Linked DNA regions of Drosophila melanogaster. The protein of the gene in region 1 interacts with the protein of each later gene in a pairwise test. Each region holds a gene or a part of one and is shown on either strand. Other genes may lie near its edges.

What was found.
Region 2: the proteins of Cpr64Aa (region 1) and Mpcp2 interact in a two-hybrid assay, tested with the Drosophila melanogaster proteins (one large-scale study listed by BioGRID).
Region 3: the proteins of Cpr64Aa (region 1) and Fas1 interact in a two-hybrid assay, tested with the Drosophila melanogaster proteins (one large-scale study listed by BioGRID).
Region 4: the proteins of Cpr64Aa (region 1) and CG4287 interact in a two-hybrid assay, tested with the Drosophila melanogaster proteins (one large-scale study listed by BioGRID).

What each region holds. Positions count from the first base shown.
Region 1 is NT_037436.4:4,207,322-4,211,153, forward strand, and holds Cpr64Aa (cuticular protein 64Aa), read right to left. Parts: upstream 1,858-3,832; 5' UTR 1,772-1,857; coding exon 1,571-1,771; intron 1,244-1,570; coding exon 866-1,243; 3' UTR 517-865; downstream 1-516. Other genes in the region: Cpr64Ab (cuticular protein 64Ab), read right to left, coding at 3,680-3,832.
Region 2 is NT_037436.4:14,535,807-14,540,945, forward strand, and holds Mpcp2 (mitochondrial phosphate carrier protein 2), read left to right. Parts: upstream 1-1,844; 5' UTR 1,845-1,896; intron 1,897-1,919; exon of another isoform or gene 1,920-2,042; intron 2,043-2,197; 5' UTR 2,198-2,225; coding exon 2,226-2,615; intron 2,616-2,922; coding exon 2,923-3,263; intron 3,264-3,746; coding exon 3,747-4,086; 3' UTR 4,087-4,635; downstream 4,636-5,139. Other genes in the region: CG43246 (uncharacterized protein), read left to right, coding at 828-1,086, 1,138-1,385.
Region 3 is NT_033777.3:16,623,639-16,628,285, forward strand, and holds the start of Fas1 (fasciclin 1), read left to right. Parts: upstream 1-1,599; 5' UTR 1,600-1,704; intron 1,705-2,330; 5' UTR 2,331-2,473; coding exon 2,474-2,578; intron 2,579-4,647. Other genes in the region: Ccdc114 (Coiled-coil domain containing protein 114), read right to left, coding at 1-273, 404-699, 758-982. UniProt on the Drosophila melanogaster protein: Neural cell adhesion molecule.
Region 4 is NT_033777.3:15,961,623-15,965,443, reverse strand, and holds CG4287 (uncharacterized protein), read left to right. Parts: upstream 1-1,576; 5' UTR 1,577-1,845; intron 1,846-1,898; 5' UTR 1,899-1,904; coding exon 1,905-2,906; 3' UTR 2,907-3,277; downstream 3,278-3,821. Other genes in the region: CG32856 (uncharacterized protein), read left to right, coding at 260-370, 425-637; CG5516 (uncharacterized protein), read right to left, coding at 796-1,279, 1,347-1,393.

The DNA.
Region 1 (3,832 bases):
AACAGCGATTATCATTCAATGATTTAGAATTAAACGCAATCTTGGCAATTAAAATCGAATTAAATAGCTTTAGTATGCTTTACTTTTTATTAAGCGTAAAAAATTCACAAGCAAGTTATTGCCTATTAGTTGAATAATATTATTCAAATATAACTCTTTAGTTCTTGAAGGAAACCGATTTATTTGAAAATTATATATTCAAAAAATATGTAACATAAGATATTTTCAATTATTTAGCTACAAATATAGTAATTGTCTTTGAATCCTACTAATGTTCAATGGTTGTAATATATTTCGATATAATATTCAAGCAATAGCTTTAAACAGAAATCAGCTTCCGTTTTAAAACTCAAGAATCAGAGTAATTTTCTTCCAAATTTTCATTTCCCGTAAAAGAATACTCCATTAACTTTCCATTTGCATAGCTTCGGTTCGTTTATTGCAATCTCGTTTCTCATTCTGCGAGTTCTACTCGAGTGCACAGGCTCGGATTAAATAAGAATTGAAACGGGGATTGTGAGTTGGGGATTATAGAGTATTTATCGCGGTCAAACAGCCTTAAGATTAAGAAGACAAGAAACATAAATGAAAGGTCTCGAGAATGTGTGAGTGTAGATGAGGGAACATTGGATCCGTAACTCAAGGACTGGGCAATCGGAATCCGCTGTCCGTGAATTCGTATGTACATATTTCGATAAATCGCTTTCATTTCCACTAATACTACAACTACTATCGACTATGATCGGCCCATGAGCTCCGGCTAACTGGAGCCCAGGTGGCAGGAGAAGTTGGTCGCGATGTGTCCATTATTCGGTTGCGGCAAGAGGTCGGCATTATTCGAGTGGTGTATATCCATCCATCTGACTTAGTGGTAGCCCAGGGGCGAGAGGGCGGGCAGGGCCAGCTTGGGCAGAGCAGGTCCATAGGCGGGAGCCAGAGCCGGTCCGTATCCGTGGGCCAGAGCCGGGTAAGCGGGCGCCAGAGCCGGACCATAGGCGGGCACCTTGGCCACCAGAGGAGAGGCATGGAGCAGCGGAGCCGGGGCCAGAACCTTGGCCACCGGAGCCACAGCCTTCACCACAGCTCCCTCGCGGCGCACCACTGCGTTGAATCCGTGCACGGGATCGGCGGTGTACTCCACAATGCGGCGGGTTCCGTCGGCCTCAATCAGTGAATAGGCGCCCTGCACCACATCTCCGCTGCGGGTCTCCTGCTGGCTCTTCACGTCACCAGTGGAGCCATCCTGGTGGGCAGAAGGAAGTTGTTGGATTAGCAAAGGATAGGAATAGGTACTTTATATTTAAAGAAATGCCTTGAAACGAATCCTTTGCATCTTATATCCTAAGGATTTCAAGGAAACTATAAATATTTTATATCCAACATCCAACTTGCTCAACCAAGTGGTCGGATTTAATAGTTCTAAGCTTCCATAAACACTTCATAAAAATGTCTGGCAAAATCAAAATTTGCATACCAGTTGCTCAATAAAGCAATAAAATTCGAATGCAGATTTCTGAATTGGCATTGCTTTTTATGAGGTGACTAATAACTTCTTACGAAGCTGACTCACATGAACATCGTAGCTGAAGGTGTATTGGGGATTGGGATCGTATGGCTCCGGACCCGCCACCTTGGCCACCAGAGGAGCAGCCACCTTGGCCAGCGCCGGGTACGATGGATAGGCGGGCAGTGCCAGTCCGGGACCAGGGACCACAACGGCGGAGGACACCGCCACCAGGGCGCTCAGGACGAGGATCAGTTTCTGTGCCATTCTGGACGGATTGCTTGGTGTTTGCGATGGAGTAGTGGAGAACTGGAGGTCTACTGCTGCTCGACTGACAAATGAACTCGATCTGTGGTTCTGTGGCCGCACGACAATTGCTTTTTATAGGCCTCACATAGACGCGAGCCCAAAAATCCGCCACAGCCTCCGCCGCCGCCTGCCACCAGATATTTATGCAAAAAGCGCAGCAAGACACAAAAAATAATAATAAACAACTAAAAAGTGAGCATGCGTGTGGAGTCTGTAGCGGCCTGTGCCTATGCGAAATGCTCGCATCGATCGCGACAAATATAAAATAATTCATTTTTCGCTGCCCATGGCAATCAGAAGGGGCTGTCCGGAGGTGGAGGAGCTGCCGGTCGAGCTGAAGGCGCTGGAGGTGCTTGGCGGTTCACGCATGTCTGGGAGTCTGGGAGGACTGTGCTGGACCAAAGCAAACTGGTCCCACGCCGGCTGAATCGCCGTCGTTGTTGTCGTGACAAAAAAGTTCAATTCGAAAGCGAATTATTTGGGCCTAAGCCGGGTGGCCGGACGGATCAGGTGTGGTGGACGCATGAGCACCAGTGCCTCCCATGTCTCCATGTCTCGACTTTATGGCCACCAGATTGGGGCGACGCTGCACACGCACCCAGCAGTCGATTGTTGAAAGGTGTGTTTGGGGCACAGCCTTCGAAACTGGCTGGCTGCTCTAAGCCGCGCCCACCCAAAAAATCTACGCCAGACGCATTCAATGCACTGCGAGAAAACGAAAAAGTTCTAACCGCAATGAATGTGATATGTGATATTAAAATCTCTACGAAAAAAGTACTTGGATAACATATACAATACAAAAGGATATCAATTGTAGAATATTCTGTTCAATCCTATAGATTTTCGAATGTCATGCAGTATTTTTTTGAGTGTATAGATTTGGTTCTGTTTCGCTGCTCTGTTGCCATTGGGACAATTTTGGCCATTATCACTAATTTTCAACGCGTACCGCCGCTTGTTAGGCGTTGCTGCAGTTGCAGTTGCAGTAACTGCTGCAGTTGCAGTCGGCGCCGGCAGCAACATCTATGGACATGCTCGGGTTGGGGTTTGCGTAATCCAAAAATTGCATCTCGTGCCGATTTTTTACTTTCAATTAAGCTATTGAATAATTTGAGTGCGTGTTGGGCCAGCGAGAGTGAATGTATTCATTTGGAGTGGAAGAGTTCTTTGGGCGTGGGACAGCTGGAGGGGAGATAACCATCTAAGATTGCGGTCTTATGTAAGTGGAATGGGTCAGCTTTCTTTGGCGAATTGGGCTTTTCCTGGTTACATTTTGTTACATTTAAAATTACAAAACCACTTTTACATGGCATGGAGTCACGAAAATGTTCACCAAGTAATTAGTTCCATTAAGCACATAACCATTTCCATTTCTTGACACCCGCAATTATGATGTAATTGAAAAAGTTAACACACTGCTAAGTTTCAAGTTCAAAACGACGATATTTGCATCATAATTAACACGCAAATTTTGATCTTGAAAAAATGTCCATTGAATATCTTGTTATTTTGCACTACTTTTAAGTGTGTTTTTAATTTAGTTCATTATCATTAACTAGGCAAGTATGCATTTTGGGCCTTGAGCTTGTCTAATCAACTGACTAATTAATAAAAATGTATAGGTGTAAATTTAAACTCGTTTCGGAATTTTAGTAGAGCTTTTGATTAATTTTAGTTAATCAACGCCTTGAGAAGCGAATACTTGCGGATTTTCCTTGAATATGATTGAAGGATTTCATGTATTTCTTTGGCTTATTGAGTTTATTGTTTAATGATTACTGACTTTACAACGGACTAAGGAGCAGACAATAAGTTATGTAAAAGCTAGGTTACAAGCAGTGTTAAAGGCTCTGAAAGATTGTGGAGTTAGCCCAAGATTGGAGCAGCCACTGGAGCCACCAATGGGCGAGCAGCCACCGGAACTGGTCCTCGCTGCACCACCGCATTGAAACCGTTGATGGGATCGGCGGTGTAGAAGACGGTGCGCAGTGAACCATCGGCATCGACCACCGAGTAGGA
Region 2 (5,139 bases), about 10 Mb from region 1:
CGCTTGCAAAAACATGACCAATCTCTTGATTACTTTTCGACTTAAGCTTCCTCTTCTCAGACTAAACCCAAATCGATCAGTTTATCGCATCCACTCTCAAGCTTTCAAAACTTATCCACATTCAATTTACTAAAACACTTTGCCGTAATCTCTATTTCAGATCCAGCTCCAGTTAGCAGACCGTTACACAAAAGCACTAACACAAAACACTTGGCAGAGCAGCTCTCCTTACGTTTAACTTTAATTACTCAATTATTTGCCAGATTTTGTTGTTTTTCACTTCTTAAGTTGGAAATTAGCCGCGAAGTACGCAGACCTAAAACGTTGGCCAACTGATTAGAGCGAGCGAGAGGCGGCGAGGGGCACAACAACGATCATATCGGATCGGATCTCGGATCGAATGGGAATCAACTATATATCGGACTACTACAGCGCGCGTGTGCGAACGCGCTACGAACCAAACTCAAACTGACGACCGAACTTCACTCCACAGAAATCCACGAGCGAGCAAACACAGCAAATACAAAAGCACAAGCAAAAGCAAAGACGGCGGCAAACAAAAAGAAAGAAGCACAAAGACAATCGAAAGACAGACTCAAAGCTTAGCGAAAGAGTCCGTTGAAGTTCTTTTGGTAAGAACCACAAAAAAGGCGGAAAGGCTTAAATAATCCTTGAACTTAATAATAACCTACATAATATAAATATCCAAGTGTATATTATCAGTCACTTTTGTTCGTTTTGTAACAATAGTCGTACATAGTGGCCTTTGGAAATACATACATAAACTTTATCAACGCGGTCTCATTGAATTATTTTTCTTATTTTAAATGTCTTTTAATTGTATATATTTTCTTATTATACTCAGTGGGAGACTGTTGATCACCTGTGCCGAAAAAAACGTATCTATAATAGAAAATGGGAGATGCTTAGATTGTAGGAAGGAAAATACGGAAATGTGTCGGATTAAAGAGACAGGATTCAGTTGTTATGAAGGAAACTTTTATAGGCGATTGGGTCGTCTACAAGGTGAATTCCCAAAAACAACCAATAAAGAGGGTGTTTGCGTTCCACCCGGACTGCATATCGGTATAAGAAGCATTTGAATAGTAATAAAAGACTAATTTTTTAATTTTACAGATACTATGAATGCCAAAGTCTGCTGCGTTTGGTCACCAGAAATCGGTTGTCAAATCTTATTAACTGAAGATCACCAGGGTGAATTTTGCTTCACTTGCAGAGTGAAATATAAAATGGAATACAAAGGCCTAATTTCCTGTCCGTGCGTAAAAAGTGAAGGATTGGGCCAACCCCATGTGAAATCATGGCAGAACTTTATTTTCACATATTTACTCATAAAATTATCCAGTTTTACCATGGGGCTATAACTTATAAATTTAAAATGTACATATAATTGAAAATTGTTATATATTTTACAGAGAGTTCTAAATACAATAAAGCTTTAGATTAAAATTTGTTTTATTGTGTAAAAATAGAAAACAAATCACAAATACTATGCAAAAATATGAGGATTTTACAAATGAATTTATTATTTTTTCAAAATATTTACAACTAATGTTATCAATATGAAATTAATATTAATAATTAATATTTTATTCACAACGAAGGCAATGGCATTAAAATAATCTCACCTGATACCTCGTATGCAGATGGTTCGAGTCCACGCTCAGGCGCCACCAAAGTTTTGCACCAAGGTTGCAGTCCATAGCCGAAGATTTTGACATGAGTGTGGCCAACTATCCTCAATCCGCTAGTTACACCTCTCCACGGCAAAACCATTAAGGCGTTTTGGTATTCGTGAGAAATCGCTGCACCTCCGTGAGCCCCCCCTCATTCTTTGAATCCTCGCCAACGAGCCGCTAACGTTGCTGACGAATAGTAAGTGCGAAAATTCCGAGCGAAAATTGCATAAGTTTTGTAAAATCGAAATCAAAGTAGCCGAGCGGTGCTCTATCGCTCCCTTAACATACACTAAATTTACGTGGTTGCTTAAAATCCTTCGCTTTTCGGGTAAATTTGGTGTCGTAAGTCCGGGTGCTCGGAATTCGAGGCACGCCGTTATGTAACCTACAAAAGCGAAAAGCAGCTGATTACCCAGCTATATATATAATTAGATAAAGCACATGTCGCCTCCGAGGTACATATATACGTAACTAATGGATGGTCTCTCTACTTTCAGCCGACCCCAGAACAAGAACAGAATCAAGATGTTCTCCAGCTTCTTTGAAACTGCCCGGAACTCGCCATTCCGCACCCCCATGTCGATGGCAAGATGCGATGCCGCCGCCCCAGTGGTGGAACCCCAGCCGGTTGAGGGTCGCCAGATCGCCGCCGCCGCTACCCCGGTGGCCAACCAGCAGGATTCGTGCGAATTCGGCAGCACCAAGTACTTCGCTCTGTGCGGAATTGGTGGCATTCTCAGCTGCGGCACCACCCACACCTTCGTGGTCCCACTGGATCTGGTGAAGTGCCGTCTGCAGGTCGACCAGGCCAAGTACAAGAATCTGGTGCACGGATTCAAGGTCACCGTGGCGGAGGAGGGCGCCCGCGGACTGGCTAAGGGCTGGTTCCCCACTCTGCTCGGCTACTCGGCACAGGTGAGATTGGGCTTCACTTTATGGGTTGCATAATCGTCTGGAGGCGAATTATATGCTCGTGACCAGGTCGGCTGACCTTAATTACATCGGTTCCGGGCTTGAAGCAGATAAAAGTGATTCGAATCGAACATTAGGAAGTTTGATTCCTAGGCTGATATCTTAGTATACCTCAGAATAACAACACACCTTTGACAACTTTATGGTTACGGGAGAAACAGATACCGAAGATAAAATCTTGGATACTACTGCAAACTGAAAAATAACTTCTGAGAAACAGCAGGCTAATCCGCGTTTCTGTATCTTTCAGGGTCTGTGCAAGTTCGGTCTGTACGAGTTGTTCAAGGTGAAGTACGCCGAAATCATTGGCGAGGAGAACGCCTACCTGTACCGCACCTCCTTGTATCTGGCTGCTTCCGCTTCGGCCGAGTTCTTCGCCGATATCGCTCTGGCGCCGTTCGAGGCCGCCAAGGTGAAGATCCAGACTATTCCCGGATACGCCAACAACTTCCGCGAGGCAGTGCCCAAGATGCTAAAGGAGGAGGGCGTCAATGCCTTCTACAAGGGTCTGGTTCCCCTGTGGATGCGACAGATCCCATACACCATGATGAAGTTCGCTTGCTTCGAGCGCACCGTGGAGCTGCTCTACAAGTAAGTAACATTTCCTCTTTAGGTATCCTCTAGTTTCTACAGCGGAAAAACTTACCAGTGCTGTGCACAATATCTGTATTCGTATTAGCGTTTTGCTATTACAATAGTTTAAAGGTAGACTGTTAATCTGTGAAATTTCAAAAGTGATATGCTAATTGATCAAAACTGAAAGTATTCATAATAAAATAAACTTTTAGCGCGTCAGCAGATAAGAATGCCATTCGTATCTAATAAATGGCACGCCAGAATAAAAACCAACGACGAATGCTTATCTTGTTCAAATATAGGAAAATCATATTATTTCAGAACTAGTTTGTTACTATGGATAAAATAAAAAAAGCAAAGCATTCCTTTTGAAGTGCAAATTAGCAGGTAGCCACTGAAAGTTCAAATGTAAAAACTAGAGCAATACCGTTCACAGTTCGGGTTGTCAAGCCCCAACGAACCCCGTTAAATCAATACTAATGATGCAACTTTTCCCAGGTATGTGGTGCCCAAGCCTCGTGCCGACTGCACCAAGGGCGAGCAGCTGATCGTGACCTTCGCCGCTGGCTACATCGCCGGTGTGTTCTGTGCCGTGGTGTCGCATCCCGCTGATGTGGTGGTGTCCAAGCTGAACCAGGCCAAGGGAGCTAGCGCCATCAGCGTGGCCAAGTCGCTGGGCTTCAGTGGCATGTGGAACGGATTGACTCCTCGTATTATCATGATCGGTACCCTGACCGCTCTGCAGTGGTTCATCTACGATGGTGTGAAGGTCGCCCTGGGCATTCCCCGCCCACCACCACCAGAGATGCCAGCTAGCCTGAAGGCCAAGCAGCATTAAGTGGGCTAGTCCAATTGGTTACCTTAAGGACAGAGTTCACTAGTTGGAGCGATTGTGGGCAGACACAGGAGCAACATACTTTTACTTTCTAACGAATTTCGGTTTCAGTATAGCGAAAATGCTTTATACTTGTTTCTCAGCAAGAATACATTAATGTTGCGTGTGTGCCATTGCACATGTACATTCCAAAACAACACTTTACGCATTTCTCTAACACAGCACTTATACACACTTTTTTATAAACACATCTTTCTAACTTTAAAAGCCAAACATTCTATCGTACGAAACTAAGCTACACTCAAGTTCAAAGTATTCAATTCCATATATATTCTGTTATACTATGTGCTATATTTAATCCTATGTGTGTCTAGCTTTCGCTGGAAAGTATGTCCGTATGTTGTACCTTTGATGGCCAGCCCCTTGTTATCTCCTCTCCGCTGCCCCCACAGGCCACACATGCGAATATGATATTAATGCTGTTTCAATTGTCTGACCCGATACCCAAGAAAGCACTCTGAATAAATTAAATTATAAAATATAAAAAACTCTACCAAGCTGCGTTTTCTAATCTTGTCTATCTATTGGGAACTGGTTATTATAGATTGTGGCTGTGATCACATTAGAACGATCGTGGGGATAACCTTATGACCTTATGATTTCCCTGACATTGAAAATGGGGTTTTATGGCGCTATAACTAACTAGCATTGTGAGGTAACCAAACAAGAGATCACGAATGCTGATTGCTTTAAAGGAAAACGGCTAATTTCGGTTTTGTTTAATCGTAATCAGCTGCCAATTGTCTGCGAGAATTTTTATGTGTTGCACAAAATGTCGATTTAAGATGTTTGAGCTAATCTATTATAATTAATATTTTAACACAATGAGCGATTTTTACATATTTAATTTTTAATAACCCACTCGATACTGTTGTAATATTTGTTTGATGCTTCTATAGAATTCGAATGCAAATCTTCATCTCAATTAAATTTATTAAAAAAAGGTTTGGACGTCTTGGCTAAATAAGAAGAACTACAGTATTTTTTCCAAAAATA
Region 3 (4,647 bases), on another chromosome or scaffold:
TGCTCCAGCTCCGGATTGAGGCGCTTTTGTCCCTTGATGTCGAAGAACTTCTGCAACTTGGCGTCGTGCTCCAGGCGGCGCTGCATCTCGCGCATCTCCTGGATGTGCATTACCTTGTCGTTCTCGTTGCGATCCTTTAGGACGGTCAGCTTGTTGCACAGCTCTTCTCTCTGGTCGAAAGCCAGTGTCGACTGGTCTATGAGATCCATGATGAACTTCTTGCCCTCGTTAAACTGGGTTACCATCGACTGCCACATGTCATTGAAGTTTGCCCTGGAGTGGAGTCGAAACGCATTAGCTCAATTCGGTATAAAAACCTAATAATATGGAGAGCACCTAGTTGACTTTTCATAAACCTAGTGTGTATTTTATAGATTGTATATATCTAGCGAGAAATGCTCACCGATCCTGCAACATGTGGTTTATGGCGTCCCTCATCTTGCTGTTTTCAGTGAGCACATCGCTGCATTTTTTGTTGACGACATCCAGGCGGTTCTCCAACTTGACCACGCTCTTCTGCACCTTGCAGATGGTGTCCTTGTAGCAGTTGTCGGGCACTTCGTTGCGCCGCAGGGCATCAATCTCCTTTTCCATTTTCCGGATGTGGCCCTCCAGTTCCCAGAGATTGGTTCGCTCATTCTGGAGCACCCTCTGCAAATCCGCCTGCTGTTCCTGCAAAGTGCCCAGGTGCTTCTCTCTCTGAAACCGATGTAAACCTTTTATATGTGGCTGACTAGTCCATTAAGTGGATATCTACATTGGTGTTCTTTCGCGCATGAGTACCACCTTCTAGAGTCTTGATCTCCTCCTTCAGCTTCTGGTGCTCCACTTGCAGTACGTTGATCATGTGATTCTGCTTCTTCAGGCGCTTGGCCTTCTCCTCGAGGAGACCCCGAAGGTCCAGCTGGAGACCCCGATGCTGGCGTTGCAGCCTCTGCAGCTCGGCAGTTGCCAACTGATCCAGCTCGCTTTGGTCAGTCATCGTTATTGGCTTTCTGAATTCGGTCTTTGCAATGGTATTGTCAAAACTGATAATGATATTAATTTGATTTCAATAGCAAACAAGCGTTGCTGGTGGCAAGTTGCTTAGTAACGGCGTGGTTTATCGAAGACTTTTACCATTTACTTAAAGTAAGAAGAACCAAATAGGTACACTGCTTGTTAAAATTCAATGTTATCTCCTTAGAAAAGTAAAAAAATAAGTGCTTGAAAATTATAACCGGTTCAATTTGGAATAAAATCTTTCAAACAGTAGAGACTCTGCTTAGCGGAGTTATCCACCGCATTCTGTCGTTGCCACATTTTGCGAAACGGTTAAAATGATTATTTATGCTTTTAAACGAAAAATGAGAAAATTTAAAGCAGTCTTCTTGTAATAATAATAAGATTGGATAAACAGACATTATTATAAATCTGACACAGAAGAGCAACGCAGCGCTCGATTTGTACTAATATTTTACCTCTAACAAGATTCGGAAAAGCATAAAAAGCACATAAATAAGAGTCACCGCCAAAGACATGCACAAATAAATATAAATGTTAAGCGATTTATTAACAGTGCACAGTGTTGCGATTTGAAACATCGACAGCTATCGATAACACTCGTTATCGTCACCACACGCTCGGCTTAAACCTGTTCTCCGCTTTTCGTTTTAATTCGAAAAAAACGTTCGAGCGTGGCGCACGTTGCGATTCCTCCGACTGGTACTTGCTCCCCTTATATTGAAACTCTGTGGAAAATCTATACTGTGCATAGGGCATAACTCTAAAATAGCTGCACGGCCCATTTCGCTGCCCTTGCTATTGATTTACCACCGCGCTGCGTTCGTTTGTGTGTGCTACTTAAAGAATTTGTGTGTTTTCCAAGTTTGGTCCGTGGACATTGCATAATTTCTGCGGCGGCCGTTAATGTTAATTCCTGCAGCCCGAGTTTCCGAGAATTACGCAGAATAAAGACCAGAGAGAAAACTATAAAATCGAAAACAGAAAAAAGTGCCGCAGCAGCGAAATGCAAAGGCGCATAATAATTAAACACACAGCGACGGAATGAAGAAAAAATAATACACAATAAGCGCAGCTTTGTTTCTAGTTAAATTGCGTTTGTGTTGTGCTTGCCGATTCCTCGGTGGTCCGTTTTTCGCTTGTTGTTCTATGTGACATAACGGAACTCTGGGCAAAAGCGAACAGGAAGCAGCGATAACCTTGCAAAAACAAAGAAAATACCAAGGAGGACAAAAAGCATGCCAAGCATATATCTGTGAAATAATATTTTCTTTTCCGAGGAAATGCTGTTTGTCGTCGGCTAACTGTTGTTTGCCTTTGAATTGCAGATCTTAATCGTAGAGCAGCACTCACACCAGCACACGCCCCCCGCAAAACAGCACACACAGCCACACTCACAAACGACGTACACTGCCAGCGCATAAACAAGTGCTGTTGTGGTTGTTGTTGCTGCTGCTGCTCGTCCGCTAAAATGCTGAACGCTGCAGCGCTGCTTTTGGCGCTGCTCTGCGCCGCGAACGCAGCCGCCGCCGCCGATTTGGCGGACAAATTGCGCGATGATTCGGAACTCTCTCAGGTGAGTCAGAAGAAGAAGAAGAAGCGAATAACGAGAACGTGGAGGATGAGGAGGTGAAAGGAGGTGGTAGAGTAAGAGCACGAAGAAAAGCAGTAGCAGCAGAAACAGTTGGTGCAAATAACCGAAACACTTGTCCGTAGTCAATTAAGCCCCCAGCACCACCCACCAAACGTCGCCCCCCCTCCCCCCGCTCACCCTTGGGTACAGTAGGGATTGCCTGCCATGAACATTAGTAATCCTTTTCTATCTTTGCAACCGATTAAATTAATGCGAAGAGTTACACTTCGAATATTTGTCAAAAGTATGTTTGTTTAGGTATCCGTACGCGCAACATGTAAAATTTGAACACATTCAGGGGCTTTTATTAGTCTAATATATCATTTCGTTGGAAAAGTATTTCTTAACTGCCTACATTTTATACAGTAATCAGTCGCATTTTTTCTGTAGCCAGGGAAACTGCCAAAATTAAAATAACTTTTGTGTGAGCAAAAAACAAACTATTTTTAGCAGACATTTATGCGTTTAAATAATTTTTTCAGCCTTTTGAATATGTTTCATATATTTCTGTGATGCCTTAATTTCTTCTCATGGTCGGATACCTTATTGCAATGATAAAATCAATTTTTTATTATGCCTGACTTGGCTTTGGCGAAGTCAATAAATTTACCTTGCCACCTAATAGTGGCAACTTATCAAAGTTCGGCTGTAATTGTGCCACCACCCACAAGACGCCGCCCCAATTCGTTGGCCTTGAAAGGAAAAGCCTTGGTGGAGTGTGCGAGGAGGCGGGGCAGATCGGGCGGGAAAAAGGAGCCTGCGCAAGAGGGACGCACCCGCATTTGGGCACAGGTAGCGTAGCCTTCGTTCCGGCAGCATCGTCCTTGACCTTTAGCCATCTCACTTGTTGTTGGACTGCGGAAAATCGATGATGCTGCCTAAAATCCCTGGCGGCAGTTCAGGTCCAGCCGACCGCTAAGCTCCACTTGGCCACATTTCGTATGCATGGCGGAGTTCGTTATGTAAAAATGAAAAGCCACATAAATTAAGCCCAGGTCTGCTGAATTGGCTCTCCCCAGCAAAAGGCAAATGGTAGAAAAAACGCCGGCCGTTGACGTCCACTGCGCATAACAGTTTTATATTTAGTTTTGCCTTTTTACACCTTCACAGGCCAACTCACATACAAAGTACATAGAAAACAAAAACACATTAATGTGTAAAAAACTCAGAAGCCAACAAAGGTGCGCGGCTGAAATAACAAGAACAACATGTGTAATGAATTCAAAGGCGGGGGTTCAGTCACCAGAAGGGGTATTAGCATTACACCAGGAGAAATATATATATATTTTTTTAATATGTTAAGGTTTATGGTAGCCCATTAAGCCACATAACTTATACTCAAAAAATAGAATTGATTTGAGTGGAAAATAGTAACATAGTTCGTCTATTGTAATTGCTTTTATCTTATATAGTAGGTGAAGTAGTAGTTGAATACGCGTTTTTAAGTAACTGACTTGAGTCCCTGCTTAATTTTCTAGTCTGCCTTAACACTGCATTTAACACCCGAAATACACGCTGCTTCAAAAGTAAATTAGACTTCCAAGTAAAAAGAAAGCGTGTGACAGACTGTAATTGTTGCAGCAAGTGTCTCAGGGAAGTAGTTGCATCCACACAGAAAAGGCAACCTTTTCGAGTTACAATAGGCGAAACAGAGCGTACAACTAAAAAAAATTAAAAACAAGAAGGGGGACTCGGCTTGCTCACTTGCACCCTTGCTTTAGGGCATTGTAACTTTGCCCAGAAGTTTGCCACTTTCGGAGCAAAGCATTTCCGGCCTCATATCTGGAGTACTGCTATACATGAGGGTGGGACCATTTGGTCGCCATAAAAAAGTAAGGGCGGAAAGTAATCTTCTGGCATTTATGCAAATTAAGTGCCGTAAAACTAATGGATCAAAAAGTCAGGCTTGGGAAATCCCTTTTAAAGTTACTTCTTAAGACTATGAAATAATCATTTTATTAATAATATGTCGTATTGCAGGTAGCTGCTTTCAATCCAATCCCCTTTTTAAA
Region 4 (3,821 bases), on another chromosome or scaffold:
TGCTTTTGCAACAGTGCTGCTTTAGCTGGCTTATCGATAGCTGATACTTAACCCATTGCTTTCACTTACTAAATAATTAATTACATTTCCTCATAAAGCAAGTGACTTTTAAAATACTTTCATGTTTTTAACATCATTTAGTTTTTATAAGTAATCTAAATTCAATTCATTTATTTCCTTGTCCATTGGAAGTATACCATATAAGGCCTTCATTAAAAAGGGGTCTTTCTAAGGTTAAAGTTTATTATTTGTTTTCAAAATGCTGCAAACAAATCGAGTCCTTCAAAAAGAGCAGGCTGAACTATTTGCTATCCAGAAGAAACTCGACCGAGTGCTCCCCGTCATTCAGGAGGCATTAAATTCACTAAAGGTATCTACAAATCTCTTGCTTCAATGACGGTTTTCCCAATTCAGTGTTCCACAGGTAGAGGAGCTGCATCTCAAGTCTCAGGTGGTGGGCCAGCAGAACCCAAAAACGCAGTGCTCCCCTGGAAGGGATCCCCTCCACATAGATCTGTCGGTGGAGCAGTCCCCAATCACAACTGTGATGGAGTCCCATCTCGTCAACAGCCAGCAAATAGATCTGGATCTCGTAAGCCAAATGAGGCGTTTCGAGGAGGAAGTCGACTCGGATTAAAATTGTTATTAAGGCTGGAACTTTACCAGAAAAACGTACATGTTGGGAGCATTAAAATATAAACAATACAGTACCAAAAGTATGTTCATTTTCGGTGTAAGTGTGGGAAAACTAAACTAGTAAAGCTACATACTACAGACCACAAATCGGTCTCTTGATTACTCTTGATCGTCAGAAGATTCAGGTGAACTCCCGGCTCGTTTTTTCTTTTTTTGTGGAGCTCCCTGCTTTTGATCCTCGCTGCTGTCGCTGTCCGAGCCACTTCCACTGGAGTCTGACGAGCTGCCTTCCTCGTCGTCCGAATCCGAACTGGAGCTGCTCGAGTCTGATTCGGATGAGGAGCCCGATTCGCTGCTGCTGTCTGAGCTGTCCGACGAGCTGGAGGAGGACGAGGAGCTCTTGCTCGTTTTCCGCTTTCGACGGACCTTCTTTCCTTCCGAGGAAGCCACTTCCGAGTGCTCCTCCACCTGGTTCTTGGGTGCGTCAGCCTCCTTTTGGGACATACGCTTGCTTAGCTGCTTGGTACGCGAGCTCCGGTGGACGTATTTGCGCTTCTCCTTGCACTCATAGCTCCAGTGTCCGATCTGCAGGCACTTCTGGCACCGGATGCCATTGGGAAAGTCTGCTGCTTGCTTTGCGGATCTGTTGTTACAGAATTCGTAGGTTACAACAAAAAAGCCGGCTGGGGTACTTCTTAAACGCGACTAACCTCTTCTTTTGCGCTAATTTGCGGGCAGCTAGGCCCACCAAAGTCATCCTGAAGCACTCGAGCAGACGCTGTTGGGAGGAAATCTTGATGTGGGTGGAAACCAACGTGGCCGGGTGGAAAAACTGGGAAAAATGAGTATCAAAAATGTTTTTTATAATTTTTTTCGTCACATTAGCGATAGTCCACTGAAAATTGTATACTTCGCAAATCGACTGTATATGGTATGGTCACCCTTATTGTTATCGGCTATCGAACTCAACAGCTGCTTGCCTAATTTGTGTCTACCTGGTTTATGTTGAAATGTCTGAATTTTAAAGTTAATTAAGCCAAAATTTAAGTGCATTATGCATGGTCGTAAAAAAAATAAGAAATAAGCAACAGCTGACAGCTATTTCACCCTTAATTGACTGGCACAAATTGCTTGGTCAAACAATAACAAAAGCGCTGTGCTGACTAAGCGGCGAAAGTGGTTGCAACAAAGTCCAATCACTATCAATCGGTAAGGTTGCTGCAGGTCATTTGCTGACCAGTAATAAAGGATTTCATACACAGCTAGCCATGGACAACAGCGCGTTGATGCCACAGGCGAGCGGACGTCATATGCCGCCCGAGGAACTGGCCATGCAAGCACTAACCAAGCAGCTTTACAAGTCTCGTCTCTTCCGCGGTTATTATATGGAACGCTGCTTGGTGGAGCAGGTGTCCGGCTACCGGGACGTGGTGGTGCTTCAACGCAGTGAGCGAGAGTTGGAGAAGCTGCTGCACTCGAGTGCCGGCCAATTACAAAAGTTTTATCAACGCTTCGTGCCCAATATGTGGGTGGGCATCACCTATGGGAGTTACGGAAGTTACCAGCACAAAGCAGATCCTGGTCAACTGGAAACCTGCATCTGGACAGAGATGAATGATCTGGCTTTTGGAGAGTATTGGTTTAGCATCAAGACCCTTCGCTTCCGGGACCATGAAGTCCAGTTCAAACTGAAGATGATAAGGCCCGTGGAGCCAGAGCTGATGGCGACGCCGAGGAGATCACTGATTCTTAATAGAAGTAGCCCTGTTAAGGCGATCACAGCGGGTGGGGAAAACTCCTCCTCCAAGCCGGATGAAGTGGCGGAGCAAATTCAGCTGGGCCTTAATGATTTTTTGGCTGTGCTGCAACAGTGGGGTGATGGAGTCAAACAAACCGTGTACGACTTCATGACCAACGATGTCAACAAGAGGAACATTTTGGGCACCATTCGGTTTCTGGGTCTACTAATTTTCTCTGCCTTGGGTGGAGCCGCACTAGCGCTACGATTCCTAGGCGTATTTGCTGTGCGATTCCTGTTTGAGCTGAGTCGTTTCACACATACAGCCACTCCAATAGTGTTTAAACTAATCGAGTTTCTGAACAAGATTGTGGGTGCTATCTTCATACTTTTGACCATGATTTGGAAAGACATTGTCACTCGTGGACATCCGGAACCGAAACAGCAGCAGCTGCATCTGGAGGCAAGTAGCCGCTTCAAGAGCATCCAATACGAGCGTTCCGAACCAAATCGACGTAGTCCCCGGTGGTGACCCGCCACTAAAAGCACATTAATGTCTAGCAAAGTGTTCCGAGGTGTAAGGGCAACGAAAAATCATTGAAATTGTGTTACTAGCCGTAAGCAAAGCGAAGCCAATCCCAATCCCCGCTTCGAGTCCGAGGGTATTTGCCCTGCAAATATGGGGACACCTATGAGATTTACAGATTTTAGTCAATTGCAATATTGTAAATTATTAATTGGCGTGCCACTGGCGCACAATCGCATGCTTATTAACCCCACTGTTAATTCATTGTGTATTGTCCAAAAATATGTTTTATTAAATCCGTTTAGTGTTAGATCCTGTAATTTATGTATCGAAAATTATTGTGAATAAATTGAATGCAATATGCGAAAATCGAAATGAAAGAGCTTGGCGTTTCGTTAGTTTTAATAGTTATACACTTTCCCTTTATTACTTTAGTTGATTTTAATCTCGTTAAATTGTTCTCATATATATTTATTATGTATATACTCGTACGTGTTCATGCTGTCGTCTTCGGTCTGTCATCGAACTTTACACAAAATGTTTAATTTATTTTCCGTTTGCTGTGCTTAGTTTTCAGGGTGCTATCGTCAGAGAAACACCACGTTCTGCCGTTGGTTTTAAATTGAGTGGAAAATGTTCTATGGCATTTCAGGGAGTGCCTCTGTTTCTAGCTGACAATTTTTGCATCCGGAGGATGCTACGAGGAATCCTCTGGTGTCTAAATATTTATCAATCATTAAACAACTAAATTATACTTTTCGGTTTTCCGTCTCGGGGGTGATATACTTTAATTAGTACATTTACATATATTTTACTTAATTTTGCAATGTATATTAATGGAATGCTGCTCAACAAACTTTGCTCATAAACATTAATTTAATTTTTGCTTTCTTTACGGCTTCATAATAATAATCTCTTTGC